Linked DNA regions of Oryctolagus cuniculus. The main gene of each other region encodes a partner of the protein of the gene in region 4 in a complex. Links are inferred from orthologs where the notes say so. Each region holds a gene or a part of one and is shown on either strand. Other genes may lie near its edges. The genes, in order: EFTUD2, LSM5, SNIP1, SNRPF, ARMC7, SRRM2 and PRPF31.

Region 1 (4,064 bases), on a different chromosome or scaffold from region 4:
AAGAATTCAAATGCTACCTCCTTCAAGCTTTCTTAGATCTCAATTTCTTTTTTTTTTCTTTTTTTGACAGGCAGAGTGGACAGTGAGAGAGAGAGACAGAGAGAAAGGTCTTCCTTTGCCGTTGGTTCACCCTCCAATGGCCGCCGCGGCCGGTGCGCTGAGGCCGGCGCACCGCGCTGATTCGATGGCAGGAGCCAGGAGCCAGGTGCTTTTCCTGGTCTCCCATGGGGTGCAGGGCCCAAGCACCTGGGCCATCCTCCACTGCACTCCCTGGCCACAGCAGAGAGCTGGCCTGGAAGAGGGGCAACCGGGAAAGAATCCGGTGCCCCGACCGGGACTAGAACCTGGTGTGCCGGTGCCGCTAGGCGGAGGATTAGCCTAGTGAGCCGCAGCGCTGACCCAGATCTCAATTTCTTATTCCCCCATGCTGCTGCAGTCTTTTGGATTTACATCACTGTTCAGCTTTTTCCTGGATGGCGGTTCACTGCACTAATTACCCTCAACAACTCCATAGTTCAGGAGCACAACACCAAGCCTCTGGAGCTGGAAGACCTAGATTCAAATCCCAAACTCATCACTAGCAACTATGTAACTTAAAAAAAAAAAAAAAGATTTATTTATTTATTTGAAAGAGTTACAGGGACAGAAAGAAAGACAGAGGGCTCTTCCAAGTGCAGATCCACTCCCCAGATGGCCACAATGGCCAGGGCTGGGCCAAGCTGAAGCCAGGAGCCAGGAGCTTCATCCAGTCTCCCATGTGGGTAGCAGCGTCCCAAAACATCCTCTCTCTGCTGCTTTCCCCAGGGCATTAGCAGGGAGCTGGATCGGAAGTGGAGCAGCCTCCGCGAGATGAAGTGGCGTCACAGACAGCTTTGCCTGCAAAGCCACAAAGCCAGCCCATGTACGTCTTACTTCACCTCTGCACATCCATTTCCTGAACTGGAAAATGGAGTGATGAAACCTCATGCATAAAATGATTGGGGATTAGATAAAAACCCTGCAACTCCATCCAGGTCCCCCACTGAGTGGCAGGGGCCCCTGTGCCAAAACCTGCTACCTCCCAGGATGCCTTAGCGGGACACAAGCAGAGAAACCGGGACTCGAACCGCTGCACCAACATGGGATGTGGCCTTCCCAGTGTCTCAACCCACTGTGCTATAATGCCTGTCATCTATCTCTGGTCATTCTTGACTAGAAGAACCTGTGCTCATTGTGCTCCCCTCCCAAAGCCCTAGAGCACCCTGTGTAAGCAGGAACTGGATAAATGCAAATGGAATGGAATATTTGATACTGATGTTTCTTGCATTGAGCTAATACCTCAACCTCCCTCAATGCCACTTGCTGAGTGCTGATTGCAAATAAAACACATAATTGGAGAACCCAAGAAGAGGTAGTTACGGGGCTGGCGCTGTGGCACAGTGGTAAAGCCGGCACTGCCCATATGGGCACCAGGTTGAGTCCCAGCTGCTCCACTTCTGATCCAGCTCTCTGCTATGGCCTGGGAAAGCAGCGGAAGATGGACCAAGACCTTGAGCTTCTGAACCCAAGTGGGAGACCCGAAGAAACTCCTGGCTCCTGGCTTCAGATTGGTGCAGCTCCAGCCATTGTGGCCACTTGGGGAGTGAACCAGTGGATGGAAGATCTCCCTCTCTCTCGCTCTTGCTCTCTGCCTCTGCTTCTCTCTGTGTGTAACTCTTTCAAATAAATAAATAAATCTTAAAAAAAAAAAAGTGGTAGTTACGTGTACATTATTAGAGAAAATCTCATATGCATAAAGGCTCTTTTTACTTCCAAAGAGCTATCAAACTGGGCTCATTCATTCTCCCGAGACCTCCAGCCAACAAATGCAGAGAGTTCCATAGAGAGCGGTTCGTGGAACAAGTCAAGCCCAGCCCCAAGGCCACTGCACCTGCCATTCTGTCTGAAATGCTCTTGCCTGAGGTATTCGTAACTTTGCCCTCTAGCTTATCAAAGTCTCTTTTCACTAAAAAGCCCCTCATTCACGCTCTCCGACCCTCACTTTCACCGTTTTCCTATCAAGACATGAATCTACTCGTTTGCATCCTGTTCGTTCTTCCCGCTACAACTTAAGCAAGGTCTCTCGTTCACTTAGGACAGCGCCTGGCACAAAACAGGCCCTCAGCAAGCATGTGCTGAACGCACGATCGGACGACTCCAGCAACGCACAGACAGCTGAGTTGCACCAGCTGGTTACGAACCTCACCGCAGCCCCTCGCTATTTTAACTTCTGAAAAAGAATCCCAAATGAAGACAAAGAGCCTGGCAGAGAAGAGGTGATGGCGGCACTGATGAGAGAGCGAGGAGACGCGGCAGTGAAAGCTCAACCCTGCCCAGGAACGGGACTTCAGGGATGGGGCTGGGGGCTCCTTCCGGCTCCAGGCCTCAGCTCACTCATCCGCAACGGGCAGACAGCACCTCATGCCTCTTCCAGATACGATGCTCTGTAACTTCCCGCCCTGCCCAGATAACCTTCCCACGCCACGGACCCCCGTTAGCTCACCTCCTCCCTGCTCAGCGTAGAACCCCAAGTCCGCCGACGGAGACCGCGCGGCCGCCTCGCGTCACTGCAGCGCCTGCGCCCGCAGCCAAGAAGGACCCCGCAGACGCCGAGGCCGCGTTTCTGCCACGGAGGACAGCCCTGTGCCTGAGAACCGGCACTGAGGAATGCCGACCGCAGACACAGGAGCCGACCGGGTGGAGTTGTGAATCCCATACCCAAGCGTGGGCTGCTCGAAAGAGAGTGAAGCCTGAGCATACATGACTACTGGGTCAGGCACCGCCAGGACACCTAAAGGGGCTTTCGGGCAGGTCACGTGGGCAGGCCGTTGGCGCAGTTGCTAGGCAACCGCGGATGCTGGGCGTAGTGGGCTCCGAGCCGCCGTTTGGTTCCAGTACACCAGGGAGTCCCCAAGGAAAGCGAGGGGACCGAGGCGGGAACTGCGGTGGTGAAGGTCCGGGTGGCTGGGTCGGGAGGACAGACGGGTTAGTTCTACTTATTGGCTGACTGCAGGGCTCAGGGGCCGGGACTCCTGAGTTCAGCTCCTGGCCAGCCCAGTCGGTTCTGGCGTTCAACTTCGCTAGGTTTGTCCGTGTGGGTAGCTAGTTGCGGACCGCCTGCTTCCCTGCCAGGACTGCTCGGTGTCCCCAGAGAAGTCTCACAAGTACGCGGGCACTTGAAAAGCTTGTGGGAAATGGAGTTAAAAGATAAGCTTATTTCGATGCAGATATTCCAAGTCCATGCATACGATAGAGGGTGCCTCCAAAAAGTGCATGAAAATGTGTATTATGAAAAAACTATGAGGCAGGGGTTGTGGCGCAGCGAGTCAGGCCGCCGCTGCAACGCCAGCATCTCAGGTGAGGGCAGGTCCAGTGGGCACTTCGGCTCAAGCTCGCTGCTAGTGCACCTGGGAAAAGCTGAAGTGCTTGGGCTCTGCACCCACGTGGGAGGCCTGGATGCAGTTCCAGGCTCCTGATTTCGGCCTGGCCCAGCCCTGGCTGTTGCTGCGATTTGGGAAGTCAAGGACTAGATGGAGGATCTCTCTCTCTGTCTCTCCCTCTCCTTCTCTCCCTCTCCCTCTCCTTCTCTCCCTCTCCCTCTCCCTCTCCCTCTCCCTCTCTCCCTCTCTCCCTCTCTCCCTCTCTCCCTCTCTCCCTCTCCTTCTCTCCCTCTCCTTCTCTCCCTTTCCCTCTCTCTCTGCATTTCAAATAAATAAAACATTATTTTAAGTTGCATGGATTTCAAAATGTTTTTGCACCAAAATAAATTCATTTTTAAACAATACTTATTATCTTTAAATATTTAGTTATTTTCAATTTATTTAAATTCAAAGAGACAGAGAAAAGAGGGAGTTCTTCCATCTGCTGGTTCACTCTCCAGCAGGTTAAAGCTGCTGCTTGGGACACCCACGTCCCACATCAGAGTGCCGGGTGGAGTTCGGACAGCTGGGAGGCAGCAGATGAGGTCCAGCTACTTGGATTCCTGGCTCCCAGCTGCAGCCTGGCCTAGACCTGGTGCTGTGGGCATTTGGGAAGTGAACCAACAG
Region 2 (3,976 bases), on a different chromosome or scaffold from region 4:
AATTTTACATTTAAAAAAAAATGTGTAAACCATTTTGAAAAAAAAAGATTTACTTATTTATTTGAAAGGCAGAACTACAGAGAGGAAGAGGCACTATCCACTGGTTCACTCCCCAGATGACCACAAGGGTTGGAGCTGTGCTGATCCGAACCCAGGAGCCAGGAGCTTCTTCCAGGTCTCCCACAAAGGTGCAGGGCCCAAGGACTTGGGCCATCTTCTACTGCTTTCCCAGGCCACAGCAGAGAGCTGGATTGGAAGAGGAGCAGTTGGTCTTGAACCGGAGTCCATATGGGATGTCGGCATTGTAGGCAGCCTTTACCTGCTACGCCACAGCGCTGGCCCCTCTTTTACTTTTTTTTTTTTTTTTTTTTGACAGGCAGAGTGGACAGTGAGAGAGAGAGACAGAGAAAGGTCTTCCTTTATCCGTTGGTTCACCCCTTAATGGCCGCTGCTGCCAGCGCACTGCGGCAGGTGCACCACGCTGATCTGAAGCCAGGAGCCAGGTGCTTCTCCTGGTCTCCCATGCTGGTGCAGGGCCCAAGCACTTGGGCCATACTCCACTGCACTCCCTGGCCACAGCAGAGAGCTGGACTGGAAGAGGAGCAACCGGGACAGAAGCCTCAAGAAAAGGAATGTTTTTGGGGCCGGTGCTGTGGCACACTAGGTTAATCCTCCGCCTGCAGTGCTGGCATCCCATAAGGGCACCAGTTGTATTCCCAGATGCTCCTCTTCCGATCCAGCTCTCTGCTATGGCCTGGGATAGCAGTGGAAGATGGTCCAAGTCCTTGGGCCCCTGCACCGGCGTGGGAGACCCAGGGAAGGCTCCTGGCTCCTGGCTTCGGATCGGCCCAGCTCCGGCCGTTGGGGCCATTTGGGGAGTGAACCAGCGGACGGAAGACCTCTCTCTGTCTCTCTCACTGTAACTCTGTCAAAGAGTGAATTGGTGGCGGGAAATACTGATTTTTACTAGTCTTTATAAAGACAATTTTATGGGAAAACAAGCCAAAAGTTTCCTTATGCGCTGTCCTCTCGGTCGGAGGACGAACTCCTTCAGGAGGTTAGCAATCTTCAGCGTCTCTCCGAAGCCTGGGAACGAATCTGCAGGGCAGCACCCCAGGACTCCCACTCCCCAGCAAGGCAGCGCGCGGGCGCCGCCCACGTGGAGCACGCCGGCCGCCCGCTCGGCCTGCGATTGGTCGAGCCTGCCCGGCCGCGGGCAAAGGCGCAGGCGCGCTCTTTTAAAGTCACCGTGGAACGTCGATGGACGCAGGCCACTTCCGGCGTAGCCATGGCGGCTAACGCTACTACGAACCCCTCGCAGCTGCTGCCGCTAGGTAATGGTTTTCCTGTGAGGGAGCTGGGGCGGGAGGCTGGGGTTCAGGACTGGGGGCCGCGGGGTTGCGGCCGAGGCACCCCTGGCTGGTAGCGGGCCTATGTGTGGGGCCGAGCGTTTCCCCTCCGCGGCTCGCGCCGGCTCCCGAGCTCCTGCGCGCCAGGCCGCTGCTGCGATGTAACGTGCTCCTGCCCCTGGAGGCAGCTCCTCGGACTCCCCCGGAACGAACCGTGGGCGGGAGAGGGCCGCACTGGGCGAGCGCACCGTCGGCCGTGTTTGTTGGGAGCGCTGCGGCGCCGTGTCCGGAGTGGCATTTGGGATCCCCAGATGGGGTTCACCCTGTTGTGTGTCTGGGAGTTGAGCGGGAAGCAGCGCGCTGTGGAACGAGCCTTAGAGGAGGAATCTGGAAACTAGCCCTGTTTGCCATTCATTCATTCATTCATCCATCCATTCAGTAAGAGCCCGTGTTCTTCCTGCGTGCTAGTCCACAGCGACCTTAAACCACAGCCATCGCTCCCGAAGGGTACACAAGCCAGTGGAGGAGACAGTACTGGACAAGTAAACCTTGTGCCCCCCGTGCCAGGCTGGCCAGAGGTGCTGAAGCTGCCCCCAGCACCGCGGGGCTTCACTGGCGAGGGAGGAGGTGACAGGAGGCTCCCGCGACGACGGTCAGCGGCCTCTGACATTGTGTAGCCGGCGAGGAGTGGTTGCGTTGACGGACTTCAGTGATTAGGCTCGTGGAAAGCCCCGTAAATGCCCGTCCCTGTCCACTGAAGATCCAGCGATGGGCGAAAATGAGCACAGTGTCCGGGCTCGTGGCGCTTAAGAGTCTGGGGGGATGTGTTTGTGTCCCTAAATTAATCACGTGATCTGGAATAAAGATAAAGCCACAATCATGATAGATTGCTGCACAGAAAGGAGAAGTGGAAAGGCTTCTGATTAAGTAGTGGGAGCGCAGAGGTTTGCATTTTAAGATCCGAGGTTACCAAAGGGGGATGTTCTTCCTAGTTTAATTTTCACTGAATTTGGCAAGTAACAAATGCCAGCGTGCACTCGAGTATGTGCTAAAATGATGAATGGGTAAAATAATCTTTTTGCTCACGCAGAGCTTGTGGATAAATGTATAGGATCCAGAATTCACATTGTGATGAAGAGTGATAAGGAAATTGTTGGCACCCTTCTTGGCTTCGATGACTTCGTCAGTATCCTTTTAAAACGTGGTGCTGTGGCTTTTTCCTGTTTATTTAATAACAGAACCGTAGACAGTGTGTTTCTGGGTGTTAACGATAAAAGTCAGTTCATCTCAGGGCACTTGTGATGGTGTTTTCAGAGGTGAGTATACTGGAAGAAGGTCACATTCCTACCAACAGTCAGCCTTTTTATTATGAGCCTTTGTGTTAAATATTATCATTACAACTGAATGAAAGCAGAAACCAGAGTTGTTTCAACCTGGAGTGTTTATTTCCTTAACACCACCTTTCAGATATGGTATTGGAAGATGTCACTGAATTGTGAGTAGTGCTAAAAATGACAGAACTCGGCTCTTTTTCAAATTCAGGACATTTTAAGTACTGTTTAGTCAGCAAAATGGAAGTAGAGGCAACTTTTATTTACTAATGCTTGTAAAAGTTATGTAATTGTTGCTGAATTGCTAGGAAATTAGTGGAGACAAAGCTTGAAGGTAACAGATGTTAACGTGCAGGGATTTTAAGGCTCAGGTCATATCAAGGACCTGATGATGAAAACATTTAACTATATAATGTAAAATGTAAGTGATAAGTATTAGTTACATAGTAGTTTAGTGGGTAGAAATCAGTAGTAATACAAAATGTTAAAGAGTGAGTCTACTAAATATTTTATATTTGATCTTGGCAGGTTCCACCTTTTTTTTTTTTTTTTTTGAAGATAAGTCTCATGGCTGTGAATCTTTTTTAAAGCTTTATTTATTCAAAAGCCAGGTTACAGAGAGAAAGAAAGAGAGGGAAGGAGGGAGATCCTCCATTCGCTGGTTTACTCCCCCAAAGGGCTGCAATGCCAGGGCTGGGCCAGGCTGAAGCCAGGAGCCATGAGCTTTCCCCAGGTCTCCCACATCTGTTCAGGGGTTCAAGCACTTGGTCCACCCTCTGTTGCCTCCCCAGGCACATCAGCAGGGAGCTGGACTGGAAGTGGAGCAGCCAGGACTCAAACCAGTGCCTGTATGGGATGCAGCACTGCAGGCAGCAGTTTAACTTGCTGAGCCACAGTGCCAGCCCCCTTGGCTATGGATCTTATTTATATCCATTGGTCTACTCTTGCTTTTGATGAAGAGTGTACATTACCCAGTGGATAACTTTTATCTCTGAAAATCACCTTTATAATTGCTGAACTTTCGTTTATACAAACATTACCTTTTTAGAGAGAGAAGGTGTTTCTAAAATGCTGCCTTTGGTTACCACCATTTATCCTGACTTTCTGTTTTATCACTTCATTTAGTGAAATCACACCGGAAGGAAGAAGGATCACTAAATTAGATCAGATTTTGCTAAATGGAAATAATATAACAATGGTAAGACACGTTAAAACTGTTTCTGTGGGACAGGGCTTACAGACCTAACTAGTAATGTTGCCGGTTGCTTCACTCATGCCGTGGCTTGGTGGTGCTTA
Region 3 (4,111 bases), on a different chromosome or scaffold from region 4:
ACCACCTGCAAGCCAAAAAGCAGTTCCCTACCCCCACACAGGTGAAACTAAACCTGACACCTTATTTGACACCTTATTCTTCAAATTCTAGACTTCAGAATAACGAGAAAATAAGTTTCTAACATTTAAGCGACCTAGTCTGTATTTCGTTATGGCAGTCCTAGCAAACGAACACAGCCACTATGGAAAATAAACAATTTCTTTAAAAATTAAACATGCAACTACTATACTATACTATAGTATAATATATAGCATATATACTATATATGCTATACTATACTATATACTATACTCCTGGGCATTTATCCCAAAGAAATGAAATCTTATGTTCACATAAAACCTGTTCACAAATGTTTATACAGCAGTTTTATGTGTAAGAGTCAAAAACTGGAAACCTAGATGTTCTTTAATGGACAAACGGCTAAACTAATACTACAGATACCACTCAAGAAGAAGGAATGAACTGATCAATGCAACAACCTACATGCCAAAGAACTTTGCTGAGTGAAAAAAGCCAGTCCCAAAGGTTACATGGTGTGTGATGCCGCTTATGTAACTTTTTTTTTTTTTTGACAGGCAGAGTGGACAGTAAGAGAGACAGAGAGAAAGGTCTTCTTTTGCCGTTGGTTCACCCTCTAATGGCCGCTACACCGCGCTGATCCGAAAGCAGGAACCAGGTGCTTCTCCTGGTCTCCCATGCGGGTGCAGGGCCCAAGCACTTGGGCCATCCTCCACTGCACTCCCGGGCCACAGCAGAGAGCTGGCCTGGAAGAGGGGCAACCAGGACAGAATCCGGGGCCCTGACCGGGACTAGAACCCGGTGTACCGAGTGCCGCAGGCGGAGGATTAGCCAAGTGAGCCGTGACGCCGGCCTGTAACATTCTTGACACATGACAAAATTAAGCCAACAGATTAAAAGTTGCCAGGACTTATGGAAGGGAGAAGGTGGGAAAGAAGTGGGTGTGCTATAACAGGACAACATGCCATGTCCAGGTGGCAGGAAAAACGTTTTGTAACTTATGCCAATATTTTGATTGTGATATTGTGACTACACTTCTGTACCATGCTTCCATTGGGAGAAACACCTGTCTTTATTAAATCTGATCTAAATCAGTAATTATCTCAAAATAAAAAAGCTTAAGAAAACCAGCAGAAATTTACCAACAACCAAAACAAACTCACACACTCAGTTTTCAGAAAAGCCCGCTGCAGGTGTAGGTGCTGTCTCTGTGGGTGTGCTTCTGGCTGGCTGTTTCCCTGGCTGCGGTGGCAGGAAGAGGCGCTGGCCTAAGACCCCACCTCAACACACCCCAGCCCACTTACCTGCTTCACTTTGACTGCCGAGTGGTGAGGACTCCGACTTCTCTTGCTCCGAGGAGACTTGCTTCTTCTCCCCGAGGACTTGTTTTTCTTTTTGGCTGGAGACCTTTCAGGGCATGGTACACACAGGATTTTATCTCAGTTTCCCTTCCCCCACATAAGCTAGCTTCTGGTATGGGGCTTACCTACTAACACAAACACATTTGTGAAAGACTGCTGATCACACCAAAGGAGCCGGGGGGCTTCCCGTTCCTCACCTACTCTCCCGCCTACGCCGCTGCCTCGGAGCCTCGGATCCTCCTCACTCAGGGAACACGGCTCTCCATCCCCTACCCTTTGAAGACTCTCCTGTCCAGGTCTGTCCCTTGGCTGTTCGCCCACCACCATGCAGAAGTCACTCTCATCACCACAATTCACGGGAGGCACCTCCTCCCCGGCCCACCTCATCGCTACCATCCTCCTCCTCCTCCACGATCACGACTTCTAGCTCACGTTCCTTGCACGTTTCCTCGGCGGCCAGATCACTCAGGTCTCTGCTCAAACGGCACCTCTTTCAAAGAGTTCTATCCCCGCTTCCTTCCAGTCTCTCACGATCACCTTACTGGGCCGACCTAGCCCTGAGACCTGTTGCCATCGGAAACTGTTTTGTTTGCATGTTGGCAGTCTTCCTGGGGCTCAAGCTCGTCCAATTTCACGAAAGCCTCACCCGTGTGGCCCAGGTCCCTAGTGCACTCTTTAGTACCCTATAGGCATTCAGTAAAAGTACGCTGAACGATGAACAAACAGTGCACCTAGCAGATCGCTTATACTCGCGTGGGGTGGATAAGGGCGAAGACAACGCCCGCACTCCCTGCGCGGGCAGACGGGGGGAAAATCTTTCAACTTAACGGACGATGAGTGCTAGCCGCTGGGCCACGCGCTCCGCGAAGTGCTGGCGACACACGAAAGAGGGGGCGAGGCCCTGACCCACAGGCATCAGCTCGACCCCAGCTGTCACGCAAGTAACCAGCACCGGAGCACACACGCCTTTACCCGAGCGCGACCCGGCCACTCCCACCGCCTCCCGCTGCTGGGCTCGGCATTCAGAACCCACTTCTGATGCCGGCCCTGTGCTCTTTTCTCAATGAGTCCGACCCAAGGTCCACCCCGGCTGTTCTCTGCTTACCGGCTCTCTCCCCGGGCTCTGCTCCCGCGGTGGCCAGGGCGGCCCGGCTCGCCGGCCGGCGGGGACGGAGTAGCGCCGAGGTCCGGCCGGCGGGGGGCGGGCGGCTCGGCTTCCGGGCTGAGGCGCTCCTGCTTCACCACCACCGCCGCCGCCGCCGCCGCCACGTCCCCCTCCCGGTGCCTCCGCCGGCTCCTCCGCTCCCGCTCGCTCTTCACCTCTTTCATTCTGCGACTCGGGTCGGGCAAAAGAAAAGAGGTCCGTTGAGCCACTCTCTCCGAAGGAAATGACGAGCTTGACCTCTGGACTTCCGCTTCCGGGGTGTGAGCTCTCCCAGCAACCCTCGCGGCGGAGCGCTGAACATGTGACGGCGCCCCCCCCGTGGGCGGGGCTGCAGGGAGCCGGCCCGAAGGGCGGGAGTTTTAAGTTTGGAAAGCAAACTACTGGGGAAAAGCGAACCTCTCAAGTTAATTCTTCACCGCGTAACTACAGAGCATGTGGGCAACCTCAGTGTACAGCTGTAGGGGGCTCCTTAGCCAATCACTGGGCATTACGTAGCTATTAGTAACGTTATCACGAACCATATACCGCTTTGTGGAAAAAGCCCGGACCGACACGGTAGAGGAAGGCGACGAAACTGCGCGCCAACCGTGATTCCATTTGGCCTTGGAAATACAAAAATGCAATCATAGTAGCCCGTGGACAAATCCTGCTATGTCAGTTCGCCATTTAACCTTGAGGAATACTTTTTAAAGCCCTGGGGATTCCAGAGACCCTCTTTTGGGGAATGGTCTCCAGCCCTTCACTGAGGTGACAATCTTGGGGCTCAGCGAAGGGGGATCTACCCAATCACGCAAGTTGCGCGCTATACGCAGCGCAGGGACTCGAACCCCCGTCTCCCGGGCGACCCGGCTGGCAGCAAGATTAAGACGCCGAGTGCCGGGGCCGAGCGCCAGGGCTGCGCGGGACGCGTCCGCGCGCCGCGCCACGCCCACCCGAGGCCCCGCCCCGGCCGGGAGGGGGGGCGGTTTCCATGGTGACCGCAAACCAGGCCCCCATCGCCGCCATGATCCCCCCGGCCGACTCTCTGCTCAAGTACGACACCCCGGTGTTGGTGAGCCGGAACACGGAGAAACGGAGCCCCAAAGTGAGGACGGGCCTCGGGGGACCGGGCCAGGCAGATCCCCGCGGCGAGAGTCCGGAGTCCGGGGACGGGCCCTGGGACGGGCGGAGAGGGAGCGAGTGGTCCGGGTGGTCCAGATGTCGCTGGGTGTGAGCGCCGCAGGTTAGACCTGGTCGCGGGGAGACAGACGGTAGGGATTCCTCTCCCGGTAGTCGGGTTCAAGGACAGGTCAGGTCGCGATGTCCCCACCGCTACAGGTGGGAGCGCAGACGCCTGACCGCTTCCTCCAGAAACACTGGTCCGCGCATTGCGTTGGGACCAGGGACTCTTCACGGGCTGGGGGTAGGGGAGGGGGTGCGCAAGACCCGGAGGCGTCCAGGGGGCTGAAGGCCTGAATCGTCTCTTCCCAGGCTCGGCCACTGAAAGCCAGCCCCCAGCAGCCGGGACCCTCCAGTCCAATCCCACAGATAACCAAGACCAAGCTCCCCTCAACTTCCTGTGTCCCA
Region 4 (4,089 bases):
ACTATTACTGAGTGACATCTTTAAAAATGGTTAAAGTGGCCAAATTTTTATGTATATTTTATCACAATAAAAAAATTCACACCAAATCCCCCCCCTCACTGGCAAAATCATTTACAACTAGTTTAACCAACATAGTTCATCAATTCTTTCAGCTAATCTGTCTTCCCTCTGAAGAAATGCTTCTAGTTGATTACATTAATGTTGTGCCTTTAGCATTCATTAAGAGACAAGAATTTCACTTGAAAAATATCAGATTTAAGCGCTGGAAAAAGGTTTGCTTTTGAAAGCAACTCATGTATTTCCCTTATTATATGAATAATCAAATGCCTGAGTCCTCCTCACTTTACCCACCACGAGTAAGGTCTGTGAATCCTGGCCTAACCCCGTGTCTTGTACCTAGTCTATCAGTTGTAACATCCTCCCTGGCCTTGACTTCATTCCTGAATTTTGTTCTATCTTTGCCAACTGTATGAATTATTAGTCACACGAAACCTTGGAGGAATAAAGTGGAACAGAAGAAACACAGTGTCACCACCCTTTCACCTCTAGCTTACCTGCATGTTCATATAGCCGTCTACAGACACCAGGTAGCCCTTGTACTCCATTCCCCACTTGAGTTTCACCATCACGGGCTTCCCTGTTAATCCATTGAGGAAAGGTTTGGGATTGAGGGGTAAACTCTGCACAAAACAAACAAACAAAAAATCCATTGATTTTTTTTTTTCCTTAACTTGGCTTCCACTCCTCACTCTCCTCTACCAATCCACCAATCAATATTTTGTAACATCCAAATGAAGCAAACTCTTCACTCCCTATCACTCTACTACCTAATTTCCACTTTTGTTTGTTGAAGAGCATCTGGGAAATTTTTTTTTTTTTTTTGACAGGCAGAGTGGACAGTGAGAGAGAGACAGAGAGAGAAAGGTCTTCCTTTGCCGTTGGTTCACCCTCCAATGGCCGCCGCTGCAGCCGGCGCACCGATCTGATGGCAGGAGCCAGGATCCAGGTGCTTTTCCTGGTCTCCCATGGGGTGCAGGGCCCAAGCACTTGGGCCATCCTCCACTGCACTCCCGGGCCACAGCAGAGAGCTGGCCTGGAAGAGGGGCAACCGGGACAGAATCCGGCGCCCCAACCGGGACTAGAACCCGGTGTGCCAGCGCCGCAAGGTGGAGGATTAGCCTAGTGAGCCACGGCGCCGGCTAGCATCTGGGAAATTTAACCAGTTATCCCATTTCGTCTTCAACCCATCACAAAAAAATAAGTGTTCACGCTGCACTTAGGAGACAAGCGGCACCTGCAGTCCTCAGTGTCGCAAGCTCTAAGGAAACAAAGATGAAAGCCCTACAACAAACGTGTAACGAGGCTCTGTCCTTAAGAAGCCAGGGTGGGGGTGTGGCGCTGCAGACATACAGACAATTATATTGCAAAGCAGTAAGAGCGATGCTATGCAGAAAGGCCCAACCAACTCAGGAAAAAAGACAGGAACGGGCTGCCTGGTAGGAGCAATGCCTCCGTTTTAAAGGGTGAAGTCTATTCCAGAGGGAAAGGGGACCGCTGGAGGCCAGGGAGGCTTCCCATCTGGAATGACCGTGTGTATGTGTGCGCTTGCGCGCGTCATCCCGAGAACAAGCAGTACGGTCAGCATCCCACTCGGGGCAGGACCAAGCTCGGCAGGGCTCGGTCCTCACCCGACCGGTGCATCGCCGGCGAACCGAGTCTCTCCGCGCTCACCTCCTCACCCCGAGGAAGAACCCAGACACCGCTACTAAATCGCGGGAAAAGTAGGAGGGCTCCACCCGCAATAACCGCCTAACGGCCCCCAGCTCCCCACTTCTCGGGCGCAGCGAGCACACAGCCGCTACGACGTGTGCCAGAGCGCATCCCATCGGGCCTGATGAGAAAGCTCCGACGGCTGCCGAGGGCGCCGGGGTAGACCCTCCACACGCTGCCCAGGTCCTGGCGCTCTCGCAAGCGGTGGCCGCTTTCGGCCAACACCCACCACGAGTGTAGCTGTCCCTCCCTCATCGTTCCGGAGCCCCATTTCCTGTCACCCGGGCTCGGGTGAAAGCCCCCCTCCGGGGGCAGCCGCGGAAGGCGCCCCAGCGCCCCGGGGCCGCAGCCTCCCGCCCGCTCCCGTCTAGGCCGGTGCCCATTTCGGTGAACAGCGCCTGACGGACGTCTGTCTCTCACACCCCGCCCAGCTCGGCCGGTGCAGGGTCCGCATGGGCACTTCTCAGTCTCTAGTCCTGGAGCCCAAGACTCAACCTGGCCAAGTCGCCGGCGCTCAATAAGCGTCAGAACGAATACACGAACGCTCCGGGGCCTGGGCCAAGGCGGGCTGGAGAAACATCACCGACGGAATAAAAGCGGCTTCATGAGTGCGACGAAGTGGGAAACGCAAACCGCTTCAGCGTTTGCTACATCCACCCCGACTACCTCTTTCTTCCCTGGACTCAGAAAGAAGAGGCAGCAGGAGGCGAGGGTCGTCCCAGCCAGGAAGGGACTCGCGCGCGTCCGCGGAACCCGCAGACTGGCGCCCCGGTGCGCTGCGCCTCGCGGATGAATGGGAAAGGCGCGAAGCCGCCACCAGGCTCAGCCAGCCCGAAGTTGCCTTCCCGCCCTCTCCGTCTCGCGACTCCAGCAGTCCTCCCTCTCCTTACCATCACGACTTCGGGCTAACGTTGCGGATTAGACGCCGCCGACGCAGATACAGCCCGTCCCGCGTGCTCGGAGCAGCTTCCCCCAAGGCCCAGACCTCCGAAGTTGCAAGAGAAATGGCCGCCAAACCTCAGCTTGACCTTTCACCTCCCACCACCGCTCTTTCGCCTTCTATGATTGGTCAAAAAGAGGCGTGTGCTGATTGGAGGAGATGGCGCAGCCGTGTCTCCCAGCAACCAGAGACGCGTTCGGCGTTACTAGTCTTCTCCCCTGCCTTGAAGAACCGGCTGTGAGAGGCCGCGTACCCTGTGGCGCACACGTGATTTCTCGGCAGCTTGGCTAATGGGGGGTCGCTTTGTTAGTTTACAACGGTGAGAACGCGTTCGGGGCTCTCAGGTCCCCGGGTACCGCGATTTGGGGGCGCCTCTGCCACAGCCCCCTTCGACCTGAAGGTTGTCTATTCGGTAGCACCCGTTTCAGCGTTCTAAGAGGAAATGAGAGGAGCGGGCCTGGAGGCGGGGAGGTGAAACGGAGGGGCCGCGGCAGAATTCTTTGCAGACTAGGAGCCAGGACCTCCCCCGGGGCGTTGCCCGCGGGCCCCCGGCCCCGCCGGCCTGGGGAGCACCTGCGGCAGCACGGGCTGATCGGTGCCCGCGACGCAGCCGCCAGCCCCTCTCCGCGCGACCGACGCTGGACTAGCCCGGATGGGAGGTGCTGAATGCAGATCTCGGAGAACTGGCGCTTGGAGGAGGACCGCCTGCTGCTGGACACCCCCCAGAAGATGCGTTTGGACTTGAGCTTTCAGGAGATGCTCGCTGTGACTTACGTGTTGTCGGTTTAAATGATGAGCAGCAAGTCAGGGTGATCATCAGTGTGGTGTAGACCGAATAGCTGTTAGAATTATTTACCCCAAAGTGCACTGGGTTTTTTCTGGTTAGTCATCGTGTCGTGGATCTTCAGCTTTTAAGAAAAAAAATTCTTAATTTTCTTTATGAGAGAGCGAGAGCGAGACAGAGAGCGTACACGCTCTTGGACCTACTGGCTCAACTCCCCAAACACCCGCAACAAGCCAGGCTGAAGCCGGGGGCTGGGAACTCCCAAGTGAGTGGAAGGGACCCAAACTACTTGAGCCATCACCTGCTGCCTCCCAGGGTGCATTAGCAGGAAGCTGGGTCAGAAACCCAGCGGGGACTCCAAGCCAGACACTCCCATCTGGGATGTGGGCGTCTTAGGCGCTATGCCAGATGTTACACCCCTGCATCTTTAACTTTGCTATAATCTTTAGTTCCTAACTTTATGTCCGGCTCTTTCCCAATTATTATAGAAATCACACAGTGTGATCTGAAGTTACAGCTGAGATGAGAAAAACAGACTTGGCAGAGAACTTGCCCAGAGGCACGTAGCTGGATTTTAACCCCAAAACTGCTTTCT
Region 5 (4,006 bases), on a different chromosome or scaffold from region 4:
GAGTTACAGAGAGAGAGAGAGAGAGAGAGCGATATCTTCCATCTGCTGGTTCACTCCCCAAATGGCCGCAATAGCTGGAATTGGGCCAATCAGGAGCCAGGAGCCAGGAACTTCTTCTGGGTCTCCCACATGGGTGCAGGGGCCCAAGCACTTGGGCGCTCCTCTGCTGCTTTCTTTCCAGGAGCATTAGCAGGGAGCTGGGTCAGAAGAGGAGCAGCCAGGACTCAAACCGGTGCCCGTAAGAGATGCTGACGCTGCAGGCAGAGACTTAGCATACTACACCACAGTGCTGGCCTCAAATAAATAAACTTATTTTTTAAGATTTATTTTATTTATTTGAAAGACAGAGTTACACAGAGAGGTAGAGACAGAGAGAGAGGTCTTCCGTCTGCTGGTTCACTCCCCAGATGGCCGCAATGGCTGGAGCTGCACCGATCTGAAGCCAGGAGCTTCTTCTGGGTTTCCCACGTGGGTGCAGGGGGGCCGTTTTCTACTGCTTTCCCAGGCCATAGCAGAGAGCTGGATTGGAAGTGGAACAGCCAGGACTAGAATCAACACCCATATGGGATGCTGGCGCTTCAGGCCAGGGCTTTAACCCACTGTGCCACAGCACTGGTCCCCCAAATAAGTAAATTTTTTTTTTTTTTAAAAAAGGGGCTGGCGCTGTGGTGCAGCAGGTTAAAGCCCTGGCCTGCAGCTCCAGCACCCCATATGGGCGCCAGTTCAAGTCCTGGCTGCTTCACTTCTGATCCAACTCCTTGCTGTGGCCTGGGAAAGCAATAGAAGATGGCCCAGGTCCTTGGGCCCCTGCACCCATGTGGGAGACCTGGAAGAAACTCCTGGCTTTGGATCAGCTCAGCTCTGGCTGCTGCGGTCATTTGGGGAGTGAGCCAGCGGATGGAAGACCTCTCTAACTCTTTCAAATAAATAAAATAAATCTTAAAAAAAAAGAAAAGAAAAAAAGGAAAGAAGGAAGGAAGAGAAGAGTACAGTAGAGTGGGGGGAAATATTTTTAAAAATTCATAGAATATGTGCATTATGAAAAAAATTTAATTTTTTTAATTGCACCAAAAACACCCTTATATTTTAACTCCACTTCCCATTAACTTGCTGAAATATCCTTGTATTCACTGGGCAGGCACTGTATGAGGGGTTCAAGTAGTCGGATCCGTGACACTCATGGGGGGGGACCTGGATAGAATTCCTGGCCCCCAGCTTTGGCCTGGACCAGCCCTGACTATTTCTGTCATTTGAGGAGTAAAACAGCAGATGGAAGCTCTGTCTGTCTCTCTGCCTCTCAAATTAATTAATTAATTACAAGTTCATGAAAAAGTCTCACAAAAAAACCTATGTATGGACTTCAAACATTTCTGCACGAGGACAGGGATGAGGGCGCAGTGGGCCAACTGGCGGGAGTCCTGCCTCAAGTCCCAGCTGCTCTGCTTCTGATCCAGCCGGGAAGGCAGTGCTGGGCCCTTGTTGCCCCTGTGGGGACCTGAGGGATGAAGGTCCCGGATCCTGGCCCTGGCCTGGCCTGGCCTAGACCTGGGAGAAGTTGTGGCCATTTGCAGAGCGAACCAGTGGGTGCAATCTCTCAATCTCTCTCTCTCTGCCTTTCAGTAAACGACAAAGACTTTAAAGTCTACATTATCGTCGCATTAAAGATCCACCTCCAAGCTGCTCCCTCCCATTCCCTGTCTGCGATCCCATCTCTAGGCAGAGGGTGGGGCCTGGGTGGGACCCCCGCACTCCCGCACATTAGCTGTGACCTGATGGCCTGTGGGGCGACAAGGGGGGCCCCTAAAGGCCGCTTTGCCGACGACTCCCTTGCAACCCTCCCATCGCGCGGCAGCCCCGCAGGTGTCGGGTCCGGCCCCCCTTACCCATAGCGAACTCCACCAGGGTCTCGTTCTCCTCCGACAGCGAGTCCAGGAACAAATCCGGGACCTGAAGCTGCCGCAGGTACTGGAAGTTGCTGGGGTCATAGGCGAAGTTGGCCAGGTTGGCGAGGACCTGCTCCTTGGCGTCTGCAACGGGAAAGCGACCCTGGAGCCGGTCCCGGGCGGCGGCCCCGCGCCGGCCCACCCGCGGCCTCCCCTCGGCTCGCGGCGCCCACCCGCGGCCCTCCCCTCGGCCCCCGCGCCGGCGCCCACCCGCGACCCTCCCCTCGGCTCGCGCCGGCCCACCCGCGGCCTCCCCTCGGCTCTCGGCGCCCACCCGCGGCCCTCCCCTCGGCTCTCGGCGCCCACCCGCGGCCTCCCCTCGGCTCTCCCCTCGGCGCCCACCCGCGGCCCTCCCCTCGGCTCGCGGCCCTCCCCTCAGCTCTCCCCTCGGCTCGCGGCGGCGCCCACCCGCGGCCTCCCCTCGGCTCTCCCCTCGGCTCGCGGCGGCGCCCACCCGCGGCTCTCCCCTCGGCGCCCACCCGCGGCTCTCCCCTCGGCTCGCGGCGCCCACCCGCGCCCTCCCCTCGGCTCTCCCCTCGGCTCGCGGCGGCGCCCACCCGCGGCTCTCACCTTTGCTCGCGGTCTCCTGGAATTCCGTGACGAGCGCCTGCAGGTATCCCAGCCGCCCGACGTGGGGGTCCACCTTGGGCTTCTGGGCCATGGCGGGGCGGCCGAGCGCTCCTGGGCCCGGTGGGACAAGGGCAGAAGGCAGCCTGGACAGCCGCGTGAGACCCTCACCGCAGCGGCCGGGGGGCTCAGGTCCTGCGAGAATCCGCAGCTCGAAACGGCAAGTGGGAGGCGGGACCCTCAGGATCCTGTCAGAGTCCCGGCCGGAAGCCGCGCTAGTCCCGCCCCCGGAGGGCGGAAGGGGCGGGGCGGGGAGAGACGGGGCGGGGCGAGGCGAGAAGGGGCGGGGCCGTCACGGAGCTCTTCGGCTCGCGTGCGCAATGAGCTCCGGGCCCGCGGGGACGCGCGCGGCAGACAGGTGCGCGGTCGGGTATGCGGCGAGGAGCCGGGGCGACCCAGGAGTGCCGCAGAATCTGGGGGTGCCCACATAGGGGGCTGTCGAGGCAGACGCACACTCCCCACACCCGCTGGCGGTCGCAGCCCAGCCTTCTCCCCTAGACGTCCCCCTGGAGCCTCAGCGTCGGCTCCCTGCGACCCTTCAGGATTTCAAGTCCGGCCGACTCCGCTCTGACCCCATTGGGGCCCTCCACCTCTGACCCGAAGTCCCGAGGACTGGGGTCCTGCCCTAAGCCTCTGACAGCTGGGTTGTCCCGGGCAGCACCGGAGGGCCCTGGAAGGAGCCTCAGCTCGCCCCTGTGGACCGCTGCAGCTTTCTGCGTTGTTGGGCCCGGGATCCTGAAGCCCTTTGGTCTGACTCCTCGGAGCTTCTCAGGAGAGAACAGCACCAGGAAAGGAGGCCTTGCCACATCCCCATGGTGCTTGGAGCTGTGAGCTCCTGGGGCCAAGGAATGTGGCTGCATCCCTGGGCCAAGTACAGCTGCGGTGGACGCAGGCTGCAGCCCTGCCCTATGCACACCTTCTTCTTCTTTAAAGGTTTATTTTATTTATTTGAAAGACAGAGTTAGAGAGAGAGGTAGAGACAGAGAGAGAGAGAGGTCTTCCATCTGCTGGTTCACTCCCCAGATGGCCGCAACGGCCGGAGCTGTGCCGATCCGAAGCCAGGAGCCAGGAGTTTCTTCTGGGTCTCCCGTGTGGGTGCAGGGGCCTAGGGACTTGGGCCATCTTCCTCTGCTTTCCCAGGCACATTAGCAGGGAGCTGGGTTGGAAGTGGAGGAGCTGGGACACGAACCGGCACCCACATGGGATGCCGACACTATAGGCCGTGGATTTAACCAGTTGTGCCACAGCGCCATTCTGACCTTGGCCTTGGTGCTTGGGTACCATAGCTGCCCTTTGTCCTTTGACTCTGTGGGGATCCTGGATGGCCTGGGAAAGTGTGTCTTAGCCAGGGGACTTCCCGCCTGTTGCTGGACAGAGCAGCGAAGGCCTGGGGACCAGGAGCCTGGGGCTTGAGGGCACACGGAGGTGAGCTCCTC
Region 6 (3,500 bases), on a different chromosome or scaffold from region 4:
CGTTTCTTTGATTCAGATTCTGATCTAATGGGAAAGGGGGGAGGGGAGAAAAAACATGAACCAACACCTACGCCTGCTCTCTGCCAACTCCTCCCAATCACTCGAAGGAATGCCACCTCATACCTGTGCTTCTTCTTCTTCGAGCTCTTCTTTCTCTCCCGTCGTGGAGAGCTGCTCTCTGACCTGCTGGAGTGAGTTCAGAAGCAAGGTCATTCGGCTTGACTTCTTTCCTGACAGCCCCACTGACAATCTACCCCAAGAAGGTTTCAAAAGCATCTGAGTAACCCCAACATCTACCTATGCCCCAGATATAAGCCCACCTTTTTTTTTTTTTTTTTTTTTTGACAGGCAGAGTAGACAGTGAGAGAGAGAGAGAGAGAGAAAGGTCTTCCTTTTCTGTTGGTTCACCCTCCAATGGCTGCCACGGCTGGCGCACTGCGGCCGGCGCACGGCGCTGATCTGAAGGCAGGAACCAGGTGCTTCTCCTGGTCTCCCATGGGGTGCAGGGCCCAAGCACTTGGGCCATCCTCCACTGCACTCCCTGGCCACAGCAGAGAGCTGGCCTGGAAGAGGGGCAACCGGGACAGAATCCGGCGCCCGACCGGGACTAGAACCCGGTGTGCCAGCGCCATAGGCGGAAGATTAGCCTATTGAGCCACGGCGCTAGCCAGCCCACCACTTATTTCTAAAAAATGTTAACTCATTAAACCAACAAACCAAAAAATGAAAAGAACATTTCAGAAATCAAAAATGCTTCAAGCCAGTTCCTAATTGGCACAGCTGCAGACTCAACCCATCCCCACAGAGGCCACCTGCATTTCTCCTGCTAGCGGAGATCTGAATGGTTCATTCCCTTCTCTGAATTTCTTGACAGCTGTCTCCTGCTTACTGGAAGCAAGATTTCTCAACTCCCAGAGAAAAAGTAACATCACAGGAACAGGCCTACGGCTACTGGAGTAACTTCCCAAGTAACTTACCGTCCTCTGTCTTTCTTCTTTTTCTTCTTCTTTTGCTTTGGAGTGGGGGAGCGAGAACTGCTAGACTCTCGCACAAGGCTGGGGTGAGGTGGAAAGAAACAGAGCTGGATGTTAAAAAGCTTTTCTTAAACGTTTTAACTCAAGAGGAACAATATTTTTAGAATGTGGAAAGAAACAGTCCACAAAGGGAGAGGAAGTCTAGAAATCAGGGAGAGAGCTAATACTGCTAGCGTGGCCTCGAGTACCTGTAAGGTTTAGGAGGCTCAGGGGCTGCTTGTTTAGCCTCTCGAGCACGACGCTGAGGATCAAAAGAGCTGCCATCCACGTAGGAATCACTGATGCCAAAGGCAGCACGAAGTCGCTCATTCTTCTTCTCATTCAATTCTGCCAACTGGTGAGTCTCAGTTACCCTAGAGAGGAAAAGGGCAGAAGTATAAAGCGACAGAAAGCGAAATGCAGAACGAAATTGAGAACACAACAAGCAGGAGCCACACAGGCACTGGAAAAGGCAGACAAAGGCAGGGCAGAAGTCCCAGGGAAGGAGAGGACGACAGCAGCAGCATGGAGTCCAGAGGAATCAAGGGGAGTGTAACACTCACGCTGGCCTTTGCCCTGGGGTCTCCTCCTTGCCCCCGGGGTTCACATCCTTCTCGAGCAACATGAGTCGAAAGGTCGCCACTTTTTCCTGAATTTGTTGTTCCTCGTACCTGAAGGACAAATCCCTTCAGGGTTAGAGCCTGCCAGGACGCTTCACCCAGTCCCGGGTCTCCATTTCCCTCTTTCCCCACAGGGCCCCTTCCTTCTCCATGCACACAGAACTTTTCACTCTCTGTCACCCTAAACTCCCTTCTCTTAAGTCCTTCTGATCCTTTCTCTCATCTTTCTCCTCTATTTCTACGCCCTCTAGAACAGTGGATTTTAAACATACTAGACTTCAGGGGCCAAGAGAGGAAAGTTAAGCAGGCAGAGTTTCAAGTGCTCATCTACAACTTCAACAAAGTGGAACAAAGTCTTCCATTTCCTAGGATTCCAAAGTAAGATATATCATATAAAAGGAGCGCCACTGCTGAAGTTTGAAAACCACTGCTCTAAAAGGTTTTCTGCCTAAGTATGCTTCTTTTCCAAAATGCCACTTCCCTACTTAGCCCATAATTCTCTCATTCATAATTCTTAAGTATTCTTCCAATTTGTGTCTTACTGGCTTTGACTCTTTCCAAGGCCTCAATCCTTAAAGCGTTTACCTTCCTCTCTTCTATCAATGACACCTCGATCAGTTCAGCGAGCCCTTCTGCCTGGTCTCTGCTTTCTGGACTCTCCCTCAAAGCGTATTTTGTTCCTCGACGGCCCCCATTGCCCCGTGTACCTTGATCTAAATCCAGACTCGCTCAGGTTCCTAATTATGCCCAATTCCTCATTTCCCACTTCGCACTGTCCCTTAACTCCTCAATCTCTAGCTCATTCATCGCCTCCCCTACGAGTGCTCTCCAGGCCTCTACTCCCTACATCCCACCTAGCATCCAGCTCTGCACTCATTCAGTGCTTGGCTCTCCCCCAGGCCTCCCCTCACCCCTGCTCTTCCATCATCTCCTCCAGCTCGAGGCATCGCAGCTCCACGCGCCGCTTGCGCTCGTGGTCCAGGATGTCAGGATTAGGCCGCTTCACCAGGGCAGCCTCCAGGCGCCGCAGTTCCTCCTCTCCCTTGTAGTCAGGCCGCTCACCCCGGCGGCCCCGCACCAGGGACAGGTTGCGCTGGACGTAGCCGTTGGTGCCGCTGCCCCGGGGCGTCGGCAGCCCGATCCCGTTGTACATGGCCCTGTGCCCGGGGGGCACCACCGCTCCTGGGGGGGAGCGGGGAGATACGGGTCAGGCCCCTGGCCCCAAACTAACCACCTACCACCACCCACATCCCTGCTCTCCTGCACCCCTAGTTCAACACCTGTCCTCTCACACTGTATCTCTTACTGCATGTTGCTTCTTCATCCTCCTGGTCTAAGAAACTCCTCCTCATCCTGCCCACACTGCTTCCTCTCCATAAAAATCGTAGCCCAGTTCTCACGGCCTTTTCCCACTAATGCTCTTCCACAGACTACTACACCATTCTTCCTTGCACCTAGATTTTCTTTTCTCCACCCTACACAAAGGATTGATTCTATTGTCTTTCAAATCTCCCCACATTCTCCCTTTGCTCTCCTTCCACACAGATAATCCAAGTGACACTTTCAACTACTCGACATCCTAACTCTGGTAACTGGGCCTCCAATCCACATCCAAAGCCTCGTGAACCTGCCTAAGGATTTCAGACTACCCCGTATGAATACAAGATGGAATAAACAACCCCTAGGTAACCGAAAAGGGGGCTAGTTAGTTAAATCCAAAGTGGTAGGTACAGCCTCACACTCAGACTAACAGCTAGCATGCACATAAGAAACAAATACGAACTTTGGATACATCATCTTACTCCACTTCACCTCCCAGGGAAAGAGCCATTTTCTTGATTCCAAATATTTATAGCTCCCATCAACT
Region 7 (3,500 bases), on a different chromosome or scaffold from region 4:
ACAGAGGCGACATCCCGCCCGGGAACAGAGCCCCAGGGGGCTGCGGCCGAAGCCGCGCCCAGCGGTGGTTCTTCCCACGAGGGCCTCTGGGTCCTGCTCCCGCTGCCCGGGCGCCTGTGTCCCACGGTCCCACCGACCCGCGCTGTCTCCTCTGCTCTTCACCTCCTCCCCAGAGCCCGACGCTCCTGGGACTTGGTGGGCGCCCAGTGGACACTCCCTGGCTGGGCAAGGGAGCGTGGGGACGTCACCCATCACCATGGGGCACGCTGCCGTGTGGTGACTGCACGGAGCCGCGGACAGGTGTGGCGGCTCGGACGGAACCCAAGTGGGAACCCAAGCCCACCTGGCAGCTTTCTCGTGACCGCCTGGAGCCCCAGAGGGGGCGGTCGCCCGCACCAGGAACTGGGCAGCCCCAGGCCTCAGTCTGGGGCTGGTCTGTACACCCTCCTCACACCTACTGTGCCGGGACCACATGGCCAGGGAGAGGGGACCCCATCGTGCCGCTGCCTCGCGGGGAAAGGGAAGGAGCTTGGCTGCCCCCCACCCCCCCAGCAGGCCCTGGTGGGGGGCGGCCCGAGCCGTACCTGCAGGGGCGTGAAGGCCACACTGGAGGCTGTGCCTGAGGTGCGGTCACGGATGGTGGACTTCCCGCCGTACACCACGCTCTGCTTCTGCAGGGTCCGCTGTGGGTGGGAGGGCACGGGATGAAGGGGCAGCCCCGCCCCCGTCCCTCACCCCGCCCCCACCTGGGCCCCGCCCATACCTGCAGCGTCTTGGAGATCCTGGCTTTGGTAGCCTCGTTCACCTGCGTCTGCCGCACGCGCCCACTGCCCGACTTGCCCAGGTGGCCCAGGCTGAAGCCCAGGTCCTCCTGGTAGGCATCCTCCTCGATCTGGGGGGGGGGGTGCCCGCAGTCAGGTGGGGGCCCTCAGCACACAGCGCCCTCTCTCATGCTTGGGGGGAGAGGGTGCGAGGGCAGCACAGGTCTCAGCACTGGGGGCACTGAGCCCAGCCGCAGGACCAGAGGATGCTCAGAGCACAGGGGGCGGGTGTGGCTGAGCCTGGGAGGCCGGTAGGCCTGGGTCCTGGGAGCCTGGTGAGGGTGGGCAGCGGAAGGGGAGAGCCAGAGGGGCCCTGGGTGGGGGGGGCGGGGACGGGGCAGGACTGGGGGCCCTGGGTGAGGGGCGGGGCCCACCTCCCCGAAGCTCATGCGGTTGGCCTGCTTCCGGATCTCCGTGAGCCCCAGCCGCTCCTTCATCTTGCGGTACCTGGGAAGGCGGCGGGTCACGCGCGGGCAGAGAGCTCGGGCCTCTTCCTCTCGGAGGCCCCCGCCCGCGCCCCCCGGGTCTCTCACCTGCGGCCGCCTCGCTTCTTCCGCTGCCCATCGAGGGGCGCAGGCAGCGGCTTCACCTGCTTCACGGGGGGCGGCTCCTGCCACTTGTCGAACTTGCGCTCTATCTCGTCTTTCAGCTCGTAGCCCACCTGGGGGGGGACAGGGAGGCGGGGGCGGCTGCACCACGGGCCATCAGCCCGCAGCACCCGACGGCCTTGGCGGCTCTTGGGTGCCCTTTGAAGCTGCTGCTTGACCAAGCTCTCAGCCCCGGACAGTGGGTGGGCCGGTCGTCCAGCTCACACCCGCGATGCCTGCTGCTCTCCCGGCACCGCCCTCAGGTCCCGCAGGCCCCTGTTCAGCACCTCCAAGGTGCCAGGTCCTCCCGAGGGCACAGAAGGTGCCCCATCACCGCCTCACCCCCCGGGGGCTGGGGGGGCTCCAGCCTCAGGCCGCCTGCACTGACCGTCCCACCTGGAACTTCCCCCAGGGGCCCTGGGACTTGACGCTGACTGCACTCGGGTGCAGGGCAGAACTTCCTGGCCAGAGAAGCCCTCCCGCCGACCCCTCACACCCCAGATGCTGTTCTTCTTCTTGGCATTTGTGGGGCAAGTGTCACCTGGCTGCTGCCCCAGCCCCTACTGGAGTGGGAGCCCCAGAGGCGGGGCTTTGTGTGCGTGTGTGCAGGGGTGGCGGCTGGGCACCTGAACACTGCCGGGCTGGGAGCCGGCACACAGCAATGCCCAGGACGGCAGGTGCGGCTGCCGAGAGCACAGAGCCAGCAGGGCCCAGGTCCTGGCCCGGAACGGCTGACATCACAAGGCAAGAGGGGTGTGGCTGGGGTTGTGGGGTGGGGAGGGCGCCCTGGGGTCACGAGGTCCCTGACGGAGGGGGGGTCTGCAGGGGCTCCTGGCTGGCTCTGGAGACAGACAGGAGCTCCGAGCCAGGGAAGGGGTGTGTGTGCCCCGTCAGGGCAGTGCTCCTGGGCTGGGTCCCCAGAGCGAGCCTCACCTTCCCCTCCGTGCTCTCGTGGAAACTGTCCACGCGGGCTGCCAGCGTGCACTTGGCGGCCACCAGCCGGGCTGCTTTCCGCCGCAGATCCTAGAGCAACGGCAGGGGGACGCGGAGTCTGTGAGCCGGACAGATGGACAGAGACAGGGCTGCTCCTCCCCGAGGGGGCTTCACTCACACACACACACACACACACACGAGGACCTCTCTCTCTCTCTCTAACACACACACACACACACACACACACACGGCCCCTGCTCCCAACAGCCCCCTCCCATCGTGGGAAGGAGGCCAGGGCCGGAGGAGCCGTGTGCTGGGGTCGCTGTGGCTGAGGGCGGAGCCCAGAGGAGGACGCGGAGGTTCCCGGGGGAGCACCTGCAGCCTGTTCTCAACCCTGCTGTGCAGGTTCGCCCTGCACACGGACCCTCATCAGATGCTCGAGCACCAGGCTGCTGCAGTCAGCGCCCCCACTTGGCAGACGTGGAACCTGCAGCCGCACTGTGGCGTAGTGGGCTAAGGCTCTGGCTGCCGGTGGCGCCGGCATCCCGTATGGGTCTGGTTCGTGTCCCAGCTGCTCCGCTTCCGATCCAGCTCTCTGCTATGGCCTAGGAAAGCGGTGGAAGATGGCCCAAGTCCTTGGGCCTCTGCACCCACGTGGGAGACCCGGAAGAAGCTCCTGGCTCCCAGCTCTGGATCGGCACAGCTCTGGCCGTGGCAGCCATTTGGGGAGTGAACCAGTGGCTGAGAGATCTCTCTGACTGTAACTCTGCCTCTCAAGTAAATAAATAAAACCTTCTAAAAAACATGTGGACACTGAGGTTCCCGGCCACCAAGCGGGCCATGCTGTGGTGTCTTCGGCTTGTGCAGGAACTGAGCTGGAACAGCACGGGCGGGAGGGGCCCTCAGCCACAGGGCAGCAGCGTGGCCTGCGGAGGGCCTGGCTCTGGGCAGCAGTGCGCAGGTGGTGGGGGGCAGCGCCCGGGCTCCAGGGCCTGGGATTCTGGGCGGCCTGCTGGCACCCTGGGATCCGTTCCCGTCTGCTGCCTGCGGACTGGAGGACAGTGATGGGCGGGGCGAGGCACGCGGCCAGGAAACGCCGTCCACACGAGGGACGGGAGCCAGCACCGGGGACAGCCAGGCCATCTGTCCCGCAGCGGCT

The links.
Region 1: SNRPF (region 4) and EFTUD2 share a complex: the UniProt entries of both Homo sapiens proteins name them as parts of the minor spliceosome. The link is inferred for Oryctolagus cuniculus from reciprocal best matches to the Homo sapiens genes SNRPF and EFTUD2.
Region 2: SNRPF (region 4) and LSM5 share a complex: the UniProt entries of both Homo sapiens proteins name them as parts of the U4/U6-U5 tri-snRNP complex. The link is inferred for Oryctolagus cuniculus from reciprocal best matches to the Homo sapiens genes SNRPF and LSM5.
Region 3: SNRPF (region 4) and SNIP1 share a complex: the UniProt entries of both Homo sapiens proteins name them as parts of the minor spliceosome. The link is inferred for Oryctolagus cuniculus from reciprocal best matches to the Homo sapiens genes SNRPF and SNIP1.
Region 5: SNRPF (region 4) and ARMC7 share a complex: the UniProt entries of both Homo sapiens proteins name them as parts of the minor spliceosome. The link is inferred for Oryctolagus cuniculus from reciprocal best matches to the Homo sapiens genes SNRPF and ARMC7.
Region 6: SNRPF (region 4) and SRRM2 share a complex: the UniProt entries of both Homo sapiens proteins name them as parts of the minor spliceosome. The link is inferred for Oryctolagus cuniculus from reciprocal best matches to the Homo sapiens genes SNRPF and SRRM2.
Region 7: SNRPF (region 4) and PRPF31 share a complex: the UniProt entries of both Homo sapiens proteins name them as parts of the U4/U6-U5 tri-snRNP complex. The link is inferred for Oryctolagus cuniculus from reciprocal best matches to the Homo sapiens genes SNRPF and PRPF31.

Annotation. Positions count from the first base shown.
Region 1 is NC_091448.1:18,150,324-18,154,387, forward strand, and holds the start of EFTUD2 (116 kDa U5 small nuclear ribonucleoprotein component), read right to left. Parts: upstream 2,801-4,064; 5' UTR 2,522-2,800; intron 1-2,521. UniProt on the Homo sapiens protein: Required for pre-mRNA splicing as component of the spliceosome, including pre-catalytic, catalytic and post-catalytic spliceosomal complexes. Component of the U5 snRNP and the U4/U6-U5 tri-snRNP complex, a building block of the spliceosome.
Region 2 is NC_091447.1:23,533,065-23,537,040, reverse strand, and holds the start of LSM5 (U6 snRNA-associated Sm-like protein LSm5), read left to right. Parts: upstream 1-1,176; 5' UTR 1,177-1,288; coding exon 1,289-1,334; intron 1,335-2,439; coding exon 2,440-2,535; intron 2,536-2,816; coding exon 2,817-2,844; intron 2,845-3,805; coding exon 3,806-3,878; intron 3,879-3,976. UniProt on the Homo sapiens protein: Plays a role in pre-mRNA splicing as component of the U4/U6-U5 tri-snRNP complex that is involved in spliceosome assembly, and as component of the precatalytic spliceosome (spliceosome B complex).
Region 3 is NC_091438.1:135,212,989-135,217,099, reverse strand, and holds the start of SNIP1 (smad nuclear-interacting protein 1), read right to left. Parts: upstream 2,801-4,111; 5' UTR 2,710-2,800; coding exon 2,486-2,709; intron 1,427-2,485; coding exon 1,324-1,426; intron 1-1,323. Other genes in the region: DNALI1 (axonemal dynein light intermediate polypeptide 1), read left to right, coding at 3,516-3,629, 4,016-4,111. UniProt on the Homo sapiens protein: Required for pre-mRNA splicing as component of the spliceosome. As a component of the minor spliceosome, involved in the splicing of U12-type introns in pre-mRNAs. Down-regulates NF-kappa-B signaling by competing with RELA for CREBBP/EP300 binding.
Region 4 is NC_091442.1:98,723,836-98,727,924, reverse strand, and holds the start of SNRPF (small nuclear ribonucleoprotein F), read right to left. Parts: upstream 2,801-4,089; 5' UTR 2,664-2,800; coding exon 2,661-2,663; intron 681-2,660; coding exon 555-680; intron 1-554. UniProt on the Homo sapiens protein: Plays a role in pre-mRNA splicing as a core component of the spliceosomal U1, U2, U4 and U5 small nuclear ribonucleoproteins (snRNPs), the building blocks of the spliceosome.
Region 5 is NC_091448.1:5,404,931-5,408,936, forward strand, and holds the start of ARMC7 (armadillo repeat-containing protein 7), read right to left. Parts: upstream 2,801-4,006; 5' UTR 2,605-2,800; coding exon 2,514-2,604; intron 2,028-2,513; coding exon 1,884-2,027; intron 520-1,883; coding exon of another isoform or gene 491-519; exon of another isoform or gene 1-490. UniProt on the Homo sapiens protein: As a component of the minor spliceosome, involved in the splicing of U12-type introns in pre-mRNAs.
Region 6 is NC_091450.1:32,562,953-32,566,452, forward strand, and holds part of SRRM2 (serine/arginine repetitive matrix protein 2), read right to left. Parts: intron 2,816-3,500; 5' UTR 2,787-2,815; coding exon 2,545-2,786; intron 1,685-2,544; coding exon 1,577-1,684; intron 1,388-1,576; coding exon 1,223-1,387; intron 1,056-1,222; coding exon 978-1,055; intron 187-977; coding exon 124-186; intron 25-123; coding exon 1-24. UniProt on the Homo sapiens protein: Required for pre-mRNA splicing as component of the spliceosome. As a component of the minor spliceosome, involved in the splicing of U12-type introns in pre-mRNAs.
Region 7 is NC_091449.1:4,557,696-4,561,195, forward strand, and holds part of PRPF31 (U4/U6 small nuclear ribonucleoprotein Prp31), read right to left. Parts: intron 2,432-3,500; coding exon 2,342-2,431; intron 1,483-2,341; coding exon 1,355-1,482; intron 1,269-1,354; coding exon 1,196-1,268; intron 893-1,195; coding exon 764-892; intron 684-763; coding exon 585-683; intron 1-584. UniProt on the Homo sapiens protein: Involved in pre-mRNA splicing as component of the spliceosome. Required for the assembly of the U4/U5/U6 tri-snRNP complex, one of the building blocks of the spliceosome.